2 linked regions of the Lytechinus pictus genome follow. The protein of the gene in region 1 purifies or fractionates together with the protein of each later gene. This does not show direct contact. Links are inferred from orthologs where the notes say so. Each region holds a gene or a part of one and is shown in the gene's direction. Other genes may lie near its edges. The genes, in order: testis-specific gene 10 protein-like and WD repeat-containing protein WRAP73-like.

Evidence for each region.
Region 2: the proteins of testis-specific gene 10 protein-like (region 1) and WD repeat-containing protein WRAP73-like purify together in Homo sapiens (co-immunoprecipitation; 6 studies listed by BioGRID and IntAct, counting the BioPlex papers as one, with this or other methods). This does not show direct contact. The link is inferred for Lytechinus pictus from reciprocal best matches to the Homo sapiens genes CEP135 and WRAP73.

What each region holds. Positions count from the first base shown.
Region 1 is NW_026974140.1:11,102,782-11,113,906, forward strand, and holds the start of testis-specific gene 10 protein-like, read left to right. Parts: upstream 1-5,665; 5' UTR 5,666-6,097; coding exon 6,098-6,145; intron 6,146-9,077; coding exon 9,078-9,206; intron 9,207-10,190; exon of another isoform or gene 10,191-10,220; coding exon of another isoform or gene 10,221-10,280; intron 10,281-11,125. UniProt on the Homo sapiens protein: Centrosomal microtubule-binding protein involved in centriole biogenesis. Acts as a scaffolding protein during early centriole biogenesis.
Region 2 is NC_087258.1:23,372,690-23,383,806, reverse strand, and holds the start of WD repeat-containing protein WRAP73-like, read left to right. Parts: upstream 1-6,844; coding exon 6,845-6,889; intron 6,890-7,991; coding exon 7,992-8,087; intron 8,088-8,555; coding exon 8,556-8,612; intron 8,613-9,224; coding exon 9,225-9,414; intron 9,415-10,090; coding exon 10,091-10,194; intron 10,195-11,117.

The sequences.
Region 1 (11,125 bases):
TCTCAGAAGTAATTCCTCAGGAGTAAGAAACAATGAAAATTAAAAATAAAAGGTCAATCAATAATGAATGTCTTGAGCAGTGTTCTTTTTGTGCATAGATCAATGGATCTTTTCATTTCCAAGCAGGGATGTAGTCAATGCTGACCTCGAGACAACATTTTGCTGGCCTTGGTCCGAGTCACTGTACAGAATCTATGGGAAGTTCTCTCAAGCTGCCTCATGACTCGGAAGAATCAGCCTCGACCTCATCCCTGTATGCAAGTGTGATATATATCTACCATGCAATCTCATGATTAAAGAGAGAGAAACAAGAGAGCTTCAGATTTTGAAGTGTAGCAATCTCCTGAAATGTATGTTTTATTTGAAAATCAAACTAAAATAACTTAATTGGGCATGTTATTCATTATGATATTTATGAATGAAAGCATTGAAGCAATTTGGTGCTCTTGCAAAACAAATTCTGAGTTGTATTTACTGCAAACCCTCAGAAATATTGATAAACATTTGCCAGTGCATGAAGTGTTTTAATGAAGAGTGGCTTTTTTGTGCCTATGGAGAATTGATATTTCTTCAATATTTTTTTATACAAATTATTTCAGAAATCACAATTTGAATATTCCATGACCTCTGATAACAAGAGCAGAATATTTTTGGTGATTAATTGACACACTTTAAAATGATATTAGGAGAGAATGTAGTGAAATTGTGTGAAAATAATGGCATAATTGCTGAAGAGGCCTATAAGATTGAAAATAACATTATTTCAAGTTTTTCTTGAAAAAAACCCATGGAAAATTGAAAATGGCATAATTTACACAATTTTTCAAAACAAAATACAAAAAGAAAATTTTTGCAGAATTTTTAGTACACAAGCCTATGGACAATCAATTGAACGTAAATCAAACGCAAATTTTGCGCATCCTCCAAAATCTCACATAAGTTACGTTCGATTTGCAATCAATTGCAAAGCTTGCGCTTGATCTACGTTCAATTGATCAAACGCAACTTCTTCTTGCAACAGGATTGAACGTAACTTGCGTTCAATTGCAGATTTGCGTTTAATCGGAGGACTTACGCTCAATTTTGGGAGTTGCGTTCGATTTGCGTTCAATCGCAAGTTTCTTGCAACACCCCAATAGTCAGGCACATTAGACTTGTCAGTCATTCATAGCACCTCCAGCCCCACTAATATATTGTTTATATTCTTCTGTTTACAGCAACATAGTGATAAATATCTTTTTAACCCTAACTACATGTAGGCCATTTTATTGTTATTATTTTTATTATTGATTAATTAATTAATTAATCAATCAATTCATTCATTCATTCATTTTATTATTATTGTTTTATTTAATTAATTAATTTATTTATTTATTTACTTACTTACTTATTTATTTTTATTTATTTATTATATTATTATTTTTTTTTTGTTGGGGGGGGTGATCAACTCCCAACCTTCCCCCTCCCGAGATCTTAGCCGCCGATCACGTGAGCGCCGCAAATAATTGCACGATTTTAGTGTGATATGTAAATCAACAAAGCTGTGTTGTTAATTTTGGGGCTTTTTATGTTGATGTATGTCTGTGTTTAATTCTTTACATGTAAACAAAGTTTTTAGAATGCAGATGTCGCATTCCGAACAATTATGTTTAAAATGAACTAGGTTTGAAGATAAATACCAGTTGTGGACTTGTGGTAATGATCTCAAATGAGTTCGAACAGAATCCAATGAAATTACCAGCAAAGTGTTTGTGATATGTATAAATATAAAATATGTGCCAAACAGCTCTTAGAAGAACATGCGTTATTGCTGAGAAATTTGCAAAATGAGCACGGAATTCCATCAAATGTCGGGTTAACATGTATTTCGAAGCAATATTAATACACTGTCCCACATGCTTTTCATCAAAATTATCGATTTTGAGCTAATATTTCATTATTTTACAAAGATTAGTTTACATTAATTTTTGTACCAGATCTATGTGTAGGATGATACTTTGACAATTAACTTGAATTTCAAAGACTTGCATGAAATAATTGTTCGCTGCAACTACTGTCTTTTACCTTTAAAATGAATTTCTTATCTGTTTTATTTGTAGGTTTTAATTTTAAAATCCCTTCCCGGCCGGCGGCCGTCACAAATTTTATTTAGAAAGACTTGATAGTAAAACTAAAAAGTAAGCAAGCGGTGTAGTAAAAATCGCCGCATTAATATGTCATTTGTTAATCTAAGGTTTGGGTAAATGTAATCATGTAAATAGATAAAATGAGATCTTTATATGGTTTTCATTGTCGGACAGACGGTCATCACTCTCAGCATGCGATAAATATTTAATTCTTTTATTTTGGAGAGTGTGTTTGGTTTCACGGTACACCATCTATTCTTTCGTGGGCATATGTTGGTCCTGAAAAGGACCACCCAAACTCGACGTTTCGACAAGGGTGTTTTTGTCATCTTCAGGAGAATGAGCCAAAATTTGTGAAAACAGACCTTCTCTGTCAGGGTGTCGCATGTATCTTTTATTTTGCTTGTTTGAAAGTATACATGTATGATGAAGAAAAGGAGAAGAAATAGTAAAGAAACAGACCCTGTCCCAACAAACAATATTCAAATTAAAAAAAACAGTGAAAAAAAAATATGTGAGGTGACGGAAAGAATAGGAAATGACTTAGTGAAGAGGAATAAGTACATTGTAAGTAATAACAATGAGGAAGAATAGATTAGAAAAATATATTTAGGGCCTGATCGAAGTTGGTCTCTCTGATAAAAGAAACATCTTCAAAAACAAGCATGAACAGAAGAGAAGAAGAAAAAAAAAATTGTGAATGATGGGGGGGGGGGGATGAGAATGAGAAGAAAAGTAGAGGAGTAAAAATTCAAGAGAAATGACAAGCAGCAAAAGAGGGAGGATTAGGAGAATGAATTTATAAGTGATATGATATCGGGGAAAATATTGTGAAAACAAATTTCAGGAACAGAAGAGAATGAGAAGAAGAAACGAATATCAGGGAGTAACCTGCGAGCTCCCTGCGAACATGAAGCAATATGCAACAGAAGAGGAGAATAAAGAAAAGCGGAGAATGAAATTGTAAATGATGATCAAAAGGATGGGGGAAGAAATATTACAAAAATGCAGGAATAGAAGAGAAGTTGAAGAAGAAATAAAAATGCAAAGGATATCTTGTAATGGTAGGATAGAGAAAAAAGAAGATTGCGAATTCCAGGAAACAACAAAACTTTAAAAAATAGACATGCGGGGGGGGGGGAGAAATGATGACTACACTGTATAGGGTAAAATTTTAGCACGAGGGTTATGTGTCCAACAAATTTGGGGCAGTATTTTATTCAATGCGGGAAGCATATTGTCCAGTAAGGTTAAAATATAAGCAGCAATTACTTAAGAAACTGAAAGGCAAAATTTTCATCACACTGGATAAATAAAATTGCCCGAAAGAAATGCCCAAAGTTGGTTGGACAAATAATTACCCCATGGAGCATTTTTACCCAATATTTTTTTTTAGAGTAGATGAATCTATTGTGTATGGACTCTGGAGACAACATCTTGAACATGTAAATAAAAAAAAATCAAATAATCGCAGAAAAATGAAAGAAGAAAATAAAGGTGGGATGAGAAAGCCAAGATGAGTTTTTGAAATTTTTAAATCAAAGAAATGATGTAGGACGAAATAATTATTTTGCAAATTTTGGAAATTTTCCGGGAAATTTCATGTACCTGAAAAAGGAACATTCTTAGGACTCGTTTGTAGGAATCAGTTAAAATACATATTTTACCAATCAAATAATGCGAGCGCGAAGCACCAGCTGAAATACTTTGATATTTATAACGTAAAACGGGACGTGTTACGCTCTTTGTGCAATCATAAACAGGATCCTTATCTTACCAAATGAACAATGTGAGCGCAAGGTGCGAGCTGAAATATTCACATCAAATGCTGTTACAATATCTTTGAAAACCTATCTTCTATCTATCTTCTATCTTCAGTCAATTACAAGCCCCCTTATTCTAGGTGAGTAGGTCGATACAATTAAAACAAAATGACGCCCCTAATTTCAAGACCATATTAGAATTAATCCCTAGATATTTTTACAACCCTTTTTTTCCTCTTTTTACGGTTTCACCATTTTTTTCCTCTCTTATTTTCTCTATTTCCCTCCCCGTTTTGATATACCTACTGTATTTCGCTTACCAGGGCGGGCGGGGTGAACTCCCAATACTTTTGAAGTGATTGTGCTCCTAATGTTTTACGTCTATTTTCTTCCCGGGGGGCCACTTCCACTGACGAGTTAGTCTAGTTCTAGACGATTTTAAACGAATCTATTTGCACCACGATATAATACGTTCTATTCCGTGCGTACGCCCAGCCGAGTGTGCGCGCAAAACCGAGAACCTGTACTCCTCGGACTATTTGCACCACGATATAATACGTTCTATTCCGTGCGTACGCCCAGCCGAGTGTGCGCGCAAAACCGAGAACCTGTACTCCTCGGAGTACAGGTTCTCGGTTTTGCGCGCACACTCGGCTGGGCGTACGCACGGAATAGAACGTATTATATCGTGGTGCAAATAGATTCGTTTAAAAGAACCTGTACTCCTCGGAGTACAGGTTCTCGGTTTTGCGCGCACACTCGGCTGGGCGTACGCACGGAATAGAACGTATTATATCGTGGTGCAAATAGATTCGTTTAAAATCGTCTAGAACTAGACTACTGACGAGTGGATACCATGCGCGACCATGGGGTCTCGAAAAGCACCCTAAACACGTATTTTCCATATTCTGAAAATGCACCCCTTAACAAGTATTGGCGTGTGAAACCCTACCCTTAACAAGTATTGGAAACAAACGATACTCTTTGCAAGTATTCCCTGAAATGAACCCCTAAACAAGTACAGGAATATTTTATTATGTCACGGGTCCTTCGGTCGTCGGTTTTACCTTTACACATCATTTGGTTTAGTACGACCCCACCTTCCACACCTCGTGCAAATCGGACTCTAAACACGTAGTGTTGGGGCAAAAAGGACATCCTTTATAAAACATTTTAGTAGGTCCATGGTTTTATCATCCCCGCAAATTTGACCCTAAACACGTAACTTTTCTAGCGAAATAGATACCTTTTTTCATTATTTTTGTGTTTTTGACACCCTTATGCCCTATCTTGAAAAAAGACATCCTTTTTACGTGTTTTTTGGGTCGCGCATGGTATCAACTCGTCTCAATGTAAGTGGCCTCCCGGGATTTTTTTACATTACATTTGTCAATTTTTTTTTATTTATCACAAAATTTTTAAAAGTAAGTGGTGCTCACTCAAGGGGAAACATGTCGGCATTTATGTTGTAATAAACATGTACCAGTATAAAGATATGGAAAGGACTCAGGATATCACAAATATTATTTTGTTTTTTAGTTTTTTTTTGTGGTATACTTCTTTTTATACAATGCATAAGAAGAGTGGAAGAGGCCGCTATTACTGCAGAACCAAAAATTTGGAATATTAATTTTGTTTTTACCAGGGAATTAGTTTTACCATGCGTTGGGTCCCCCCTCGAAATTCCAGTTATGTAATATTTACGAACTACTCACCAGATTAGTTGATCAAGAAACTGATAAATATAAAAGAGTTGCTAGGCAAGTGTAAACATTTATATGCAAATGATTTCATGCTGGCTGCGCTGCGAATTTCGATGAATTTAATTTAGCGAATATTTTGTTCCATTCAGGATTTTTCTTTTAATAGCGATAGACGTCGCGTCATAAATCATCACTTTTGTTGGAGACCATCGAAGCGTGGACGGGTGTCCTTGTAAGAGATACGAATGAATGAAGAGAAATAGAGAGAGAGCTAGAGAGAATTCAATGGATCTTTTTTTACTTTACAATGGGAAAGGCTTGGGTCAAAGGGCACACCGCGATCGTTGAATGAATGCGGTGGTGGAAATTCAGTTAGGATTTGAATGCAAATACAAATACTACGAGATCAGCTGTAGCTTGCGATCGCCTTGTCGGCTGCTAGTACTACAACGCTCTTGGTCGATTCAAATGTCTTTTTTTATGGATATAGATATAGGAGCTTAAAATGTCAGGACGACACGGGAGCGGAAGAAAATCCAAATCGAGGACTAGGGTGAGATAAATTGCTGTTGCTTTATTGCTGGGTGAAGTTTTGATCATTCTTTGAATTGACTTAGCTGTATTACACACGTAGAAGAACATGAAAAACATGTCGGCAGGGACGCTTACTGAACCACAGGCTAGTAACGGTTCGATGCGATGGCAGGTGTTTTTCTGCTTGACTATTCACTGTTCACCTTTTTTAGTTCTACTTCCCATGGTCATACAATATGGCTAGCATCGAATTTATTTTATGAATTGTAGATATAACATCACTCAATCATGTTGATTTTTTTTGCCTTGCATTGCAAGAAAATTCCTCTTCATTTACTGGAAAAAAAATGGTTATGAATTTATTTCATGAATTGTAGATCTATATAACATCACTAAATAATGTTGAATTTTTTTTGCCTTGCATTGCAAGAAAATTCCTCTTCATGAGACTTGAGTCTGAGAAGCGTTCCCCCCCTCTTTCAACATGCCTCAATCTGATACAAAATATGATTGGATAAGGAAGAAGAGGATGTGGGGTGGGGTGTTATTTTCTACATCTGCCATTTTACCCTACTTCATTAGATATGCATCATTGAGAGAAAATAAAGGTGCAGCAAGGCAATTAAATGGGAATAATTAAATGGGAAGCTACCACTTTTGGTTTTAGGACTCTTATTCAGATCCAGATAAAAAGGCCCGAATTCACAAAGGTGGTTTTTAAAACCCATGGTTGAGTCCATGGTTTATGCAGATTTCCTGTATAAATTACGCTTATTTTACCACGTATGTTAAAAAATGTCCAATGCTGATGCACGTTTTTGTCACAGTGAGCCAAATTGACGCCTGTGAATTGCGGTGGTTATCCACGCTATTTTATTCACGAGTCCACTGTTTTTATTCATGAGTCCACTCTTCAAACAGTGGACTTGTGAATAAAATAGCGTATCTAACCATGGTAACAGGCGTCAATTTGGCGCACTGACAAAAGCGCGCATCAGCATAGGATATCTTTAATACACGCACCCGATACGCGCTAAATTAAGCGTAATTTATACAGGAAATCTGCATAAACCATGGATTCAACCGTGGGTTTTCAAAACCACCTTTGTGAATTCGGGCCAAAGGGTCCGTCTGAGTATGTTATACTGTATGCCCAGTTTCTGAAATGATTTGGGTCATATGAACTTTTTTCATGGAATATGACCATTTTAATCAGAACTTGGAAATCAGATTGAAACATATCCATTGAAAAATAACAGCTAATAATTTGTTAATATTTTATTTTGTGACATGTGACCAGCTGCCAATATGTCATGTGATATATTATTAACCATTTAATTTCAATTTTAAAATAGACCACTTTTACATGTTAAAGGAGAATGAAACCCTTGAAACCAGCTGAATCCATATCAAAGAGAAAAATCAAAGAAACATATTGTTGAAAGTTTGAGGAAGATTGAATGAATAATAAGAAAGTTATGAGCATTTGAAAATTGAGATCACTAATGCCATGTAGATCCTCCCATTGGCAATGCAACCAAGATATGTGATGTCACACACGTACAACTGTCCCTCATTACTTTAGTACTTATTTCACTTATATTCTCACTTTTATAGAGTCTATCACAAGGTGAGGTGTTCTCTTTATGAGAGGACAAGTACAGAGGTTTCACAACATTATATCAATGATGAATCATTTGTCATATGATTAGAATGAGCAAAAATAGATGTTTTGGGGTACATTTTCAGTGTCCAAAAAGGGAGAGTTGTCCAGTTTTGGACACTGAAAATATACCCCAAAACATCTCTTTTTGCTCATTCTAATCATATGACAAACGATTCATCAATGATATAATGTTGTGAAACCTCTGTACTTGTCCTCTCATAAAGAGAACACCTCACCTTGTGATAGACTCTATAAAAGTGAGAATATAAGTGAAATAAGTACTGGAGTAATGAGGGAGTTGTACGTGTGTGACATCACAGATCTTGGTCGCATTGCCAATGGGAGGATCTACATGGCATTAGTGATCTCAATATTCAAATGCTCATAACTTTCTTATTATTCATTCAATCTTCCTCAAACTTTCAACAATATGTTTCTTTGATTTTTCTCTTTTATATGGATTCAGATGGTTTCAAGGGTTTCATTCTCCTTTAATATGTGAAAATGAGCATTCACTAAATCATTCTGGTATTAGCAAAATGAGTGGGATTTTTTCATTGGGCAGACCTATATCAAAAGTGTGATATATAAAACTCACATGCAGGTGCTTTGTTGCTCTGTTGATGACTTACAGCAATTTTGGGATTTTGGTACAATTACACCACTTAATTCTCTTCTATTCTTCTTTCATTGACTACTTGTACAGCCATGTGTGTAGGTATCGACCTCCAGGATACCATCAGGCCTATTGTCATTCGCATCACTTTTATTATTAAATGTGTTTGTATTACATGTATGTTGTGCTCTACTACAATGTAGTTGTATTTTGAAAACTTGAAGGTATATCTGTATTTTGAATGTACATGTATTTCAGAATGTATTTTCATCAGATTGTGGAAGCAATTAAACTGGTACAAAATTTTAGAACATGTCCTAGAATTTTTATGTTGCTATCATTAGGACACATGCCTGATGCTATATATGTAGGATTTTTAAAATCAGTGATTACATGTATATTATGGGAAAAAATCACACAAGTTAAATTGTTTTTTATTGATATTTCTCTCAATTTCAATTTGGTTTTAACTTTAATACCAGTACAACCTGCTAATAAAACACAACAAATGAGAATTTTTTCTCAAACTCTGATTTAAAGAAAAGCACATCAGATGCTGCATACATTAGGCATATTCCTTTCCTGAATTTCATTTTGTTAAATCCATTCTGTTTGATTTTGTCTTCAATTTTTAACCATCATTTTCATGTTTTTCTTGTCTGTGTTTAGGTTGACAATCGAGATCAAGAAATAACCCGTTTGAGTCGTCAACTAGAAGGTGGTCGACCCCTTGATGTGATGTCAAATGAAGCCAAGAATCGTAGCAATGAAAGGCTTATATCCCATCTTAATATACAGGTAGGTTTATATTCATTTAGTGTGATGTCAAATGAAGCCAAGAATCGTAGCAATGAAAGGCTTATATCCCAACTTAATATACAGTGCGTCCCAGAAAAAACGAAACCGAGATTAAGCGATGATTTATCATAACTTAATCACAAATACAATAGACAAATGACCTACCAATGTAAAGCTTAGAATCTCTGCTTTCATCTGATATTACTTAGATTATTCCCCATTCACGCATGAGTGAGCGAAAACAATTTGAAGAAAGGATACCAAAAACTCATTTGGCGGGGGGTATCTGAATTTCAAAAAGAAAATCACATGCCTAAAAAGTTCAATATCTGCTCTTTTATTTGATACCTTAATCACAAAAAATGGTCAAGAAGTAAAAAATTTATGTTCCCTCGAAACAATGCTTGTATTTCCATTATTTCATTAAATAAACGTGTTTTCATCGGTTTCCCACAAAAGCTATCGCATGGTTAACAAAAGACTTAATGCATGGCTGATCGTCAACAAAACGGAGTGTCAAGTGAGTTTGAACGCTAGCCTGTAGAACCTCTTAATTTTATGAAATTATTGAAATTCAAGCCTTATTTCAAATAACCATAGCTTTGTTATTTCTTGACCATTTTCTGTAATTGAGGTATCAAATTAAAGAGCAGATATTGAACTTTTTAAAAATGTGGTTTTCTTTTTGAAACCCAGATACACCCCGCCAAATGACTTTGTGGTATCCCCTCTTCAAATTGTTTTTGCTCACTCATGCATGATTGAGGAATAATCTAAGTAATTTCAGATTAAAGAGGAGATTCTAAGCTTTACAATGGTAGGTCATTTGTCTATTGTATTTGTGATTAAGTTATGATAAATCATCGCTAAATCTCGGTTTCGTTTTTTGTGGGACGCACTGTACAGGTAGGTATATATTCATTTAGTGTGATGTCAAATGAAGCCAAGAATCATAGCAATGAAAGGCTTATATCCCATCTTAATATACAGGTAGGTTTATATTCATTTAGTGTGATGTCAAATGAAGCCAAGAATCATAGCAATGAAAGGCTTATATCCCATCTTAATATACAGGTAGGTTTATATGCACTTAGGCTACAGCAATGTGGTTTACTTTTCCAAACACATTTGGTCTACTATCTAGTTGATCTAATTGCAACGAAAGGTTTGTTTCCTTAGTTTCAGGTAGGTTTATATAATGTCTACAAGCAGCATTTTCAGATGGTCTAGTACCACATCGGCTAATCCCGTTTGGTCTACACTGCATTTGGTCTTTTACCCACTAAGTCAATTCTCACTTAGTCTAATACTCAGTTCTAATTTCTACTTAATGTACTAAATATTGTTGTGCTCGAAAGTTAGTGAAACCCACCACAAAATGCACTCCTTCATTCTCAGTTGAATGAAGACAAAAAATTTACAATGCCCAGTGAGCAAAGAGAAACAAACTTTATTGAATGTATTTTTTATCACCTGACTTCACATTTCTAAAACGTGGCCGAACTTGAACACTTAAAATATGTTCATTTTCTGGTGGGGTTCACTCACTTTTGAGCACCACTGTATACTTATTATTTTCTACTTTGTCAAATCGAAAATTTGGTTCTGAAACAGTTATTTTTATACACCACTTAGTACGATGGTATAAGATAAAGAGGATATTAGGCAAAATGTGTATAGCCTAACTGGAAAGTAGACAAAATGTTTAATTGACTAAATGACAATTAAACCAGACTGGTTGGAGTGTAGATGCAGGATTAGACCATGTGGGATGAGACCAGGGTCCCATAACAAAAAGGATAGCGATTGATCGTACGCTTGATTTTCACGATTAATTATCAATGCAATCAATTATAAAAAGAAAGGTTCTACGATCATCGCTAAGCTTTGTGTTACGGTCTCCAGCTATTTACAACTAT
Region 2 (11,117 bases), on another chromosome or scaffold:
CTTCATTTGAATAAATATTAGTGCGTTCGGGGAGTTAAACTACTTGTAAAAATAAATGTATATTTGGGCTCAAAACCCTAGAGAAAAGTTTCGATTTTGATTAAGTTATGCGAAAATGGCGGTGCGTGTAGTGCAATGGTATGCCATCCCTGGTTTCCTGAAGATTACACGCGTCAGTGGTATGACTTTAATCTCTAGGAGCCTCCTGGCTAGTTGTGACCACTCACACTAGTGTGAGGTTAGTACTTTATTTTATTTTATCTGCCAAATACATTAAAAAGTGATTAAATCATTTTATTTTGTTCTCTATCAATTTTTAGATTTCCCAAAGCTGGTTCAGCCCATCTAAAGGAATGGCTGGTCAAGATGAAAAGAGACAAGTGGACACCGAGCAAGTATGCCACCCTGTGCTCAGACCACTTTGAAGCAGAGTGCTTTGACCGCACTGGCCAGACAACCAGGCTCCGTCATGGTGCAATTCCAACCATATTCAACTTCCACCGGCAAAGGATTTTTTTTTTTTTTTTTACCAGATTGCAAAATTTGGGAATGGAAGTGCCAGCAACTTTCCCTTGTTTTATGCATGCTACAAATTACAAAAAATACATCTTTCCAGAAAAAATTGTAATTCATGCTGATGCCTTTAGAAGTTTAGCCAGCATGCAACTGATGCAAGGAAACAAGCACAGAATGTCTGTCCATTCAAACACCAATAGTGTGCATGTCTCACACAATTTGTAAATATGTAGCCTTAATGGTGTTGCATTATTAAAACATTGACTTTCCTTATCATTGCAATGTTAATTATTGTTATCCATTCAGGCTGATGAATGATCTTAACAAGAAAACTTAAAGACTTGATCATGTGTATAGTACCGTAATGTGTATTCAAAACATGCCTTTATTAGTGTTGCAATATAAACATTTCATTGGACTCTTTCTTTATCATTACAATATGAACTATTACCAGGTATATCCGTCTGGACTGATGGTTTTATCAAGACAACTAGCACAAAATGTCTGTCCGTTCAAGCACCATGAATTCTAGTAGAGTGTGCATGTCTCACACAAAATTGGAAATTTATAGCATAAGCCTTGATCATGTGTTCAGTGCCAAAATTTCTATTCAAAACTTGCCTTGATAGTGTTGCAATATTTACATTTCATTTGACTCTTTCATTATTGCAATATCAATACATGTACTTATTGATAATCCAAAAGAATTTTATCAAGACAGCTAGCACAAGATGTCTAACCATTCAAGCACCGTATATTCAAGTATAGTGTGCATGTCTCACACAAAATTGTAAATTTATAGCTTAAGCCTTGATCATGTGTTCAGTGCCAAAATATCTATTCAAAACTTGCCTTAATAGTGTTGCAATATTTTGTCTCTTTCATTATTGCATTATGAATACATATAATTGTTGATGATTAAAAAATAAATGTCATGTGTACGGGTAAATGCCATGTCATTTATTTTGTATGCTACCTAGTGCTAGAGAAATAATATATTTTCAGGGTTATTCTAAATCTGCAACACATTTTCTTTTTGAGTTTTAAATAAAGAAATTCTTTATTTTGATGAAAATTTGAAAGCAGCTAAATGTATTAGTCTATACATACCTTGAAATTTACATGTATATGTTCACTATGTATTAAGTAATACATGTACATATTCCACGCTTGAAAAATATGTGAACAAGTAGAGGCAAATCTGACGAACAAAACACTGAAATTATATAAGTATTGGAAGAGGAATACAACCACAGAAATTATACATGTACAGCCCACCTATTGCATATTCTTCATGGCATGCAAAAAGCTGTTTTCAGAAAAAGTTGCCAAAATTTGGAATTCAATAACTCAATTATTTTTTCTAATCACATTTTCATTTAGATTTCTTGTGATTAGTGCTCATTAATTAGATATCATTTTTATATTTTGAAGTACTGGTGCACCTGTAGGCAGATGCTCCCCATTTGCATACTAACCAGGATGTACTGTACCTATAATTGTTTATGATGGAAAGTGAATTTTTTTCAGTGTTTTACAATCTATGTTTTGTTTGATTTTTCTTTTATTTAACTGATTTTACTGGTGGGATAAGTTTAAATATGTTCCAAGTTTAAAGGAAACTACAGTATACTCTACGTGCACAATAATACACACATGTACTTCCGAATCCTTGTACTCCTATGTTGATTCTATCATACGATATTCAATATTTGCTCAATCTCATACTAGTACAGCATACATATAACATGCTGTGAAATTTTGGATAGGTACAGTATGCGAATTAAATATAGATGTTTTTACACTTCTCGATGAACGGTATTCCTTAATGATTTTATGCAGTTAATTGACACAAATAAGTTGATTTTATTGCTGTAACTGCATGAAGTTCAGCTTCAGATTGGTTTTTCGTAAAGATTACGTTTGGCTTATGGACGACTTGTGATCTTGTGGAGTCAACTCATTTCCTGAAAATATACATGTATTGTACACCACTTCAGTACTATTTTGTTTGTGTGCTGTTCTGCAGTATATTTATCTATCATTTCTTGTATTTTTAACAAGAATCTTTATCACATTTCTTATTGCCACAGCTCAGAAATAAATATTGTTCACATCAAACTCTTGAAACCATGGAATCAATTTTTTATGTCATTAACTGACTTGCTCATATTGACATTTATTATTAGCAAATAGAAAAAAAGGCAGAAGAGGAGAAAGATATTAAAAACATAAGGAGGTAGTGAGAAAGGCAGAATTGGAAAGAGAATTGGATTCTCCGAGCAAAGTGAGCGAATACAAATTCAGCACTTAACGAAGAGAAAGAGATGGGTGAAAAGAACTGGCAGAAGTGAGAGAGAGAGAAATCAAGAGGAGAGGGGGCAGAAATAATTGCCAAGATTTATTGGATGACATGAGAGGGAGAGGGGGATAAAGAGAGAAGTTGGGCAGAAGCAATGTTGGATAAAACTAAAGAAAGAGAATGGGGACATTCAAGAGAAAAAGGGGCAAGAATAATTTCCAAGAGCCATTAGATGGCTATAGAGGGAAGAAGGATAAATGGAGAGGGTGGGCAGAAAATTTGTGATAAAAATAAAGGAGGAGAATCAAGAGAAAAAGGGAAGAAAAAAATTACCAAGAACAGACAGATATAGCTAGTAGAGAGGGGGCAGAAGAGCTGTTAGATAGAAGCATGAAAGGGGAAGGCAGAAAAAACTAACAAGTGGCAAATAGAAGAGAGAGAAAAAATAATAATCAAAATTAAATGCCCGTTTCATGATGAATGAATTCACAATTTCAATTCAGCAAAGTGCTCTAGCTGTGAACGCATACAGTAGACGCCCGGGATCTTTGCTCTACACAAGATGGCGGCGTGTGCGCTCGAGCGGGGCCATCGTGGTGTGTGTACGGTGAATGACAACAATCCTTCTACGTGTATTATATTTCTGTGTATCACACACGTACAACTCCCTCATTACTTTAGTACTTATTTCACTTATATTCTCACTTTTATAGAGTCTATCACAAGGTGAGGTGTTTTCTTTATGAGATGACAAGTACAGAGGTTTCACAACATTATATCATTGATGAATCGTTTGTCATATGATTAGAATGAGCAAAAAGAGAAGTTGGGGTATATTTTCAGTGTCCAAATGGGAGAGTTGTACGTGTGTGACATCACAGATCTTGGTCGCATTGCCAATGGGAGGATCTCCATAGCATTAGTGATCTCGACATTCAAATGCTCATAACTCTTTTATTGCTAGTCCTATTTTACTCAAAGTTTTGTTGATCTTATTCTTTGATTTTGCTGCTTTCACAAAAGCTAACTTGCTCCAAGAGTTTCATTCTCCTTTAATTACTACAAAACACACAACGACAACACAGAGATGATAATCTCGTGGTGAAAATATCACCAACAGACCAATTTTAACATATAAGTGCCTCTTTTTGGCTTTGCCCCCCAACGAAATTACGTTTGGCCCCTTCCCATCCTCATAACAATTGAAAATGAAATGGTGTTTCTACCCCCCCCCCCCCCTCCACAAACGCTTGCCCTTCCAGTTTTTCCGGTTTCGCAACAGATCATTTCATTTTCGGATTAACGAACCTTATTTCATTTTCGGATTGACGAGCCTTCGGAATAACGCCACAAATGTTCGGACTAACGAACCTCTTATCGTTTTCGGATTAACGTACATCGAGGTATAGGCACTTAACATGTTTTGGAATTACGAACCTTCAGAATAGTAAAACTTCGGAATAACGATCCTTCGGAATTACGAAGTGTCACCAATTATTTCCCCCTCTTTCACGGCATGGACCTATTGGTTGTACGTCCATGGTCACAGCAAAGCAACGCTTTTGAGGCCTCATCTCTGTATAAGCCGACTGACTTACTTTCATATAACCGAGTGGTCCTATCTGTACATCAATCAGAGCATCAAAATGAAATCCTCCTTACACGGTAGGTTTTTAATTATTTTTCCGACACCAAATTATGTCAAAATAAATAGTCCCATCCAAGCTAAAATTGAAGATAATACATCCAATCAAGTTGAGAATCAAATTCAAACCAGAAACTTTTAGCGTCCTTTCTCGCTTTTCACAGTAATTGTTATTGCCTTCTATTTATTCACGCCTACGTGTTGCCGGAATTTCCCATTTTCCTTTACTATGTTGCACTGGCGTAAATCCGTGTTGATGGGTGGGGGGGATGACTGAAATATTTTGGCATTTTTTTGCAATCATGTTATTAGATATGCAAGGAATTGTCATTGATATGTCCACAGTGGCGTACCGTGGGTCACGGCATTGGGGGGGGGGCACCAGCAAAATTTTTGAATGACTGAGTGAGTGACCTAATAGAGACATTTTAAGGACAATGTCATTAAACGGATATGTATCTCACTCATCAAATAATGCGAGCGCGAAGCGCGAGCTGAAATTTGTTTATATTCACACCTAAAAAGGGACATTATAATCAAATTTGTGTAATCATGATAGGTACCTGTCTCGCTTAAAAATGCGAGCGCGAAGCGCGAGCTGAAAACTTAGATAATTCAGACCTGAAGTGGGGCATTCTAAGTTTTCTTTGTAGGAATTAACCAGGACCATACGTATTTCATTAACCAAATGATGCGAGCGCGAAACGCGGGCTGAAAATTTTTGATATTCAGATCAGAAGAAGGGACATTTTAAGGACTGATTTTAGGAATTCATGAAGAGTAGACATATCTCAACAATCCATTAAAAATGCGAACGTAATCACGGACAGGAAATGTTTCATATATACGAAGACCTTAACATGGGGCAATCACTTTTGAGTCATGAAAAAAAAGCATATGTCACTACATAAAACAATGATAACTCAAGTGCTAGGAAATATATTTGGTTTATATTGACTTGAAAACGGGATGTTTTGGTACAACAGGATTATATATCTCGTTTAACAGACAATGCGAGCACCAGGAACAATTGAGACGTAGGCCCTGGGCAAATTATGTTTTATAAAGTTATGATAAAAATGTTTCTTATGTAATGTAACTTAACATAATTATAATATAATATAACATTATAATGAATAATATTTTCTTCTCTACGTGCACAATAATACACACATGTACTTCCGAATCCTTGTACTCCTATGTTGATTCTATCATACGATATTCAATATTTGCTCAAACTCATACTAGTACAGCATACATATAACATGCTGTGAAATTTTGGATAGGTACAGTATGCGAATTAAATATAGATGTTTTTACACTTCTCGATGAACGGTATTCCTTAATGATTTTATGCAGTTAATTGACACAAATAAGTTGATTTTATTGCTGTAACTGCATGAAGTTCAGCTTCAGATTGGTTTTTCGTAAAGATTACGTTTGGCTTATGGACGACTTGTGATCTTGTGGAGTCAACTCATTTCCTGAAAATATACATGTATTGTACACCACTTCAGTACTATTTTGTTTGTGTGCTGTTCTGCAGTATATTTATCTATCATTTCTTGTATTTTTAACAAGAATCTTTATCACATTTCTTATTGCCACAGCTCAGAAATAAATATTGTTCACATCAAACTCTTGAAACCATGGAATCAATTTTTTATGTCATTAACTGACTTGCTCATATTGACATTTATTATTAGCAAATAGAAAAAAAGGCAGAAGAGGAGAAAGATATTAAAAACATAAGGAGGTAGTGAGAAAGGCAGAATTGGAAAGAGAATTGGATTCTCCGAGCAAAGTGAGCGAATACAAATTCAGCACTTAACGAAGAGAAAGAGATGGGTGAAAAGAACTGGCAGAAGTGAGAGAGAGAGAAATCAAGAGGAGAGGGGGCAGAAATAATTGCCAAGATTTATTGGATGACATGAGAGGGAGAGGGGGATAAAGAGAGAAGTTGGGCAGAAGCAATGTTGGATAAAACTAAAGAAAGAGAATGGGGACATTCAAGAGAAAAAGGGGCAAGAATAATTTCCAAGAGCCATTAGATGGCTATAGAGGGAAGAAGGATAAATGGAGAGGGTGGGCAGAAAATTTGTGATAAAAATAAAGGAGGAGAATCAAGAGAAAAAGGGAAGAAAAAAATTACCAAGAACAGACAGATATAGCTAGTAGAGAGGGGGCAGAAGAGCTGTTAGATAGAAGCATGAAAGGGGAAGGCAGAAAAAACTAACAAGTGGCAAATAGAAGAGAGAGAAAAAATAATAATCAAAATTAAATGCCCGTTTCATGATGAATGAATTCACAATTTCAATTCAGCAAAGTGCTCTAGCTGTGAACGCATACAGTAGACGCCCGGGATCTTTGCTCTACACAAGATGGCGGCGTGTGCGCTCGAGCGGGGCCATCGTGGTGTGTGTACGGTGAATGACAACAATCCTTCTACGTGTATTATATTTCTGTGTTCCCAGCCCATCGGGGAAATCAGGGAAAATTATTTACTTTTTTCCAGTCATGGAAAAATCAGGGAATTCGATATAAAATACCTCAAATGAGGGGAAAATCAAAGAATTTTGATCAGCCTTTGGGCTGCCCAAAGGTCGAAAGCACGGTAGTCAGCCAGACTCTGTTATATTTTGTTGTGTATCAAAACTACATCCAATGAATGACTGGTTTTGGTGGTTAATTAGTGTAGCCTCTTTGACTGCAGTACAGTACTGAAAATACATGTAATTCAATGCAACAACTTAGAAAACATGCAAAACTGGGAATGGGTTTGAATAATTATCAGGAAATTTGAAAACTTCAGGGAAAATCAAGGAATTTTGTTTAATTTAAAAGCTGGGAACCCTGATACAGTAACTGACACTGCATGACTGCACATCATATTAATGCGTTTAACATACAGAGAGACAGAAAGCTGACAAAGATTTTTAAAAGAGAGAAGGAAAATATGATTGTGTCATATCTCTGAGAAAAGATAAAATATCAAGAGAAGACAATGTTCAGAATACTGCCCCAGGAGCCTGTTGCAGAAAGAATTGCAATAATAATAATAGGCATTTATACAACGCCATCTATCTAGAAATAATCTATTCCGAGGCACGTTGTTTATTACCTTGGCTTTAGCTCGAGCTGCCTATCAGCGCTCATGCATTCAAGGAATTAATCCTGCCGGGTACCCATTCACCTCACCTGGGTCGAGTGCAGCACAATGTGGATAAATTTCTTGCTGAAGGAAATTACGCCATGGCTGGGATTCGAACCCACGACCCTCTGTTTCAAAGTCAGAAGACTAAGCCACTGAGCCACAACGCTCCACAATCATATTCGACTCCAAAACTCATAATTTCATTTTTAATTTACCTTTCAATCAAAAGCGGGTTTTAAGGACTTTATCTTTTAGTTGCTTTCAGATGCAAATTTTTCTGCATCAGATCCCTAATGACTGGCTACAGCCATGATAAATAATGGTTTTTATGTCAATATGTTTTGAAAATAAATTTTTTCCATACTCCTTTCCAGGCGAGTTGTGTCCAGTATCGGCTGATTGTTCGAGATGTGCATACTCTACAGATTCTTCAGCTTTACACATGTCTTGATGCGATCCAGTGTTTGGAGGTTAGTCACTTGATATTTTTTATCAGATTTCCTTTGAAGGTTTGTTTTTGTGATACCGATAAAGTAAAGGAGGTTACCAGATTACCATGGTTGAATGAAATTGAGTACAAATGACTCCATTCCATGGCAGTTCATTTTCATTTCTAGGATTTATTCTAGTATGTGAATTGAGACTCAAGCATGGCTCATGTACATGTAAATTCATAAGCAACATTTTTCCATGTTTAATTCAATTTGACTAGGATATAAACTTAATCAATTGATATTGATTAGTCAATTAATATTTATATATTTGCCTTGGTGGGTTAACTGAAGTGAGTACTTGAGACCGAGGAAGTCTTCTGAGACTAGGTTCAAACTTCTGGATGACTTCGTTCAAGGTTGTTTATTTGGTAACATTATTACTGCAGTCTCTGTTTATGACAGTGCTGAAAATAACTTTTTTGTATTGTTTTCTTTTTATTATAGTGGTCTTCAGATTCCAAATTTATTTTATGTGGGATGTTCAAAAGAGGGATAGTGCAGGTAAGTGTAGATTAAAAAATATAATTATTATCCTGACCATTATCAGCATCATTATCATGATGGTGATTATGATGATGGTGTGTTGCAAAGATAGACAATATTTTTATGTTGATCATGAAGATAATGAAAATGACAATGATGATGATGATCATCATCACTATCATCATTTAAATTCATTGTTTTAGCATTAAATGAATGCATCTCTTTTGAAGGGTTTACAGACATTTGCATTCTTGATTACACATTCTCTTTCTTGTTCTATCCTGTTCTCAGTTTATTAAAAGCAAACTCTGTGTATTTTTTCTTATATCTCTCCATGAACATTTTGGATTTCTCCTTTCTTCCTACAACACACTATCAAATTTGCTGTTTATAAGTTTAAGATGAAATAACAATCTTGCATGTTGTCCCTCAAGGTTGTTTACTTGGTCCAGGGGAGTACATAATCAACATTTTCGTCCGACAAGTTGTCAGATCAGACAATTTTTCAAAATTGTTTTGATTCGTTGAGAAGCACAGCTCCTGTGATAACTGTCGGATAAAACGACTTGTCAGACAAAATATCCATTCATGAAACGCCCCCCGATGTATTCTATCAATCGTATATTATAGGTATGGTCATTGGAGCAGCCTGAATGGACATGCAAGATAGATGAAGGGTCAGCTGGACTGGTCAGTGTGAGATGGAGTGCTGATGGACGTCATATCTTGACCACAGCAGAGTTCAACCTGAGGATCACGGTTTGGTCATTGGTCAACCGGTCAGTGTCCTATATCAAGTATCCTAAAGAGGCAAAGCAAGGTGAGTATTCAATTTCTGGTCTTTGCTTGTTTTTTATCCTTCATGTTATAGATGAAAATAAAAGCAGTCTTTAATTTTTATAGTAACCAAATACATATAGATTGATTAAAGTTATGTAAATGTTCTGTTGTGAATAAAATGGATGTTCTTTGATACACACAAGTTCACAGATGCAGATGTTAGTGATAATTTGATAAACTAGGAATTGCATGTGGAGCGTTGTGGCCCAGTGGATTAGTCTCCGGACTTTGAAACAGAGGGTCGTGGGTTCAAATCCTAGCCGTGGCGTAGTTTCCTTCAGCAAGAAATTTATCCACATTGTGTTGCACTCAACCCAGGTGAGGTGAATGGGTACCTGGCAGGAATTCATTCCTTGAAATGCCGAGCGCTGGAAAGGCTGCTTGAGCTACAGCCGGGGTAATAATATCCAAGTCCTTTGGAAGCGCATAGAGACGTTATTCATAATGTGTTATGCGCTATACAAGAACTGACTATTATTATTATTACATTTGCTATATTTAAGCTGAATATACTGAATGTATTTACTAACAGGTGTAGAATGAATGACATGTTGTTGCTTAATATGTGTTACTAACAAATCTGTTTATTATGTGATTATTCAATTTTTGTATGAGGATCTTATCTAATCTTTGTGAAATCAATTTATTTATTCCAGGAATGCATTTCACTAAAGACGGCAAGTACATGGCGCTAGCTGAGAGAAGGGACTGCAAGGATTTCATCAGTGTCTTTGCTTGTAATACATGGCAACTTGTTAAAGTGAGTAATTTCATTTGATCTATTGATTTGGTTCTGAACTTGAACAACTATACAAGTAATATAAAAAGATAGTGAAAGTGAACTTTCAATTATGAGCATAGCTAGAGGCCCTGTGAGCCCTGGTAGTCAATAAAGTAGTCAAGTACAAACCATAAACAGAAAACAGTGCGCTTAGAAACACCAGTAGTAAGCGCCTTATAAATGTTATGTATTATTATTATTAATAAAATAAATACAGCAAAAAAAGTGATAGGCCTGTATTTTTAGTAATCAAAGTTTATTTGATATTTGTTTCTCAAGAAAAAAGTAACCAATTATACATTATTTATTTACTTATTTATTTATTTTATTTATCTATTTATTCATTTATTTATTTTTATTTATTTATTTATTAATTAATTGATTGATTTATTTATTTTTATTTATTTATTTATTTATTAATTAATTTATTAATTTATTTATTTATATATTCATTCATTCATTTATTTATTTAGTTTATTGTTTATTTAATTACTTATTTGTTAGTTTGTTTATTTATTTTCATTTATTTATTTACTTGTTACTGATAATATTACATGGTGAATCTTGACCACAACATAAAGTAATCATAATGTTATAAAGATCTTGAATATAAACTCATAACAGCAACAAAGAATAAGAATATCTGTGAATATACAAAGTATGTATATATAAAGCATTTGTTATTCCCGTAATGAATGTTTTGTTTATTCAATTTTGTTTTGCTTTGTTTATGATTTCTTTTGTTAAATTCAAGAAATTTAGTAATGCATAAATCACAATATAGTCCTCTGGCTTCAGTAAATTGCATGTATTCCTTGTTGATGTATGTGGCAGGCTTTCAAATTGTCACGAATATCCTTTGATTACGAAAGTAATTGAAACATTTAAAATTCTACTCTTCA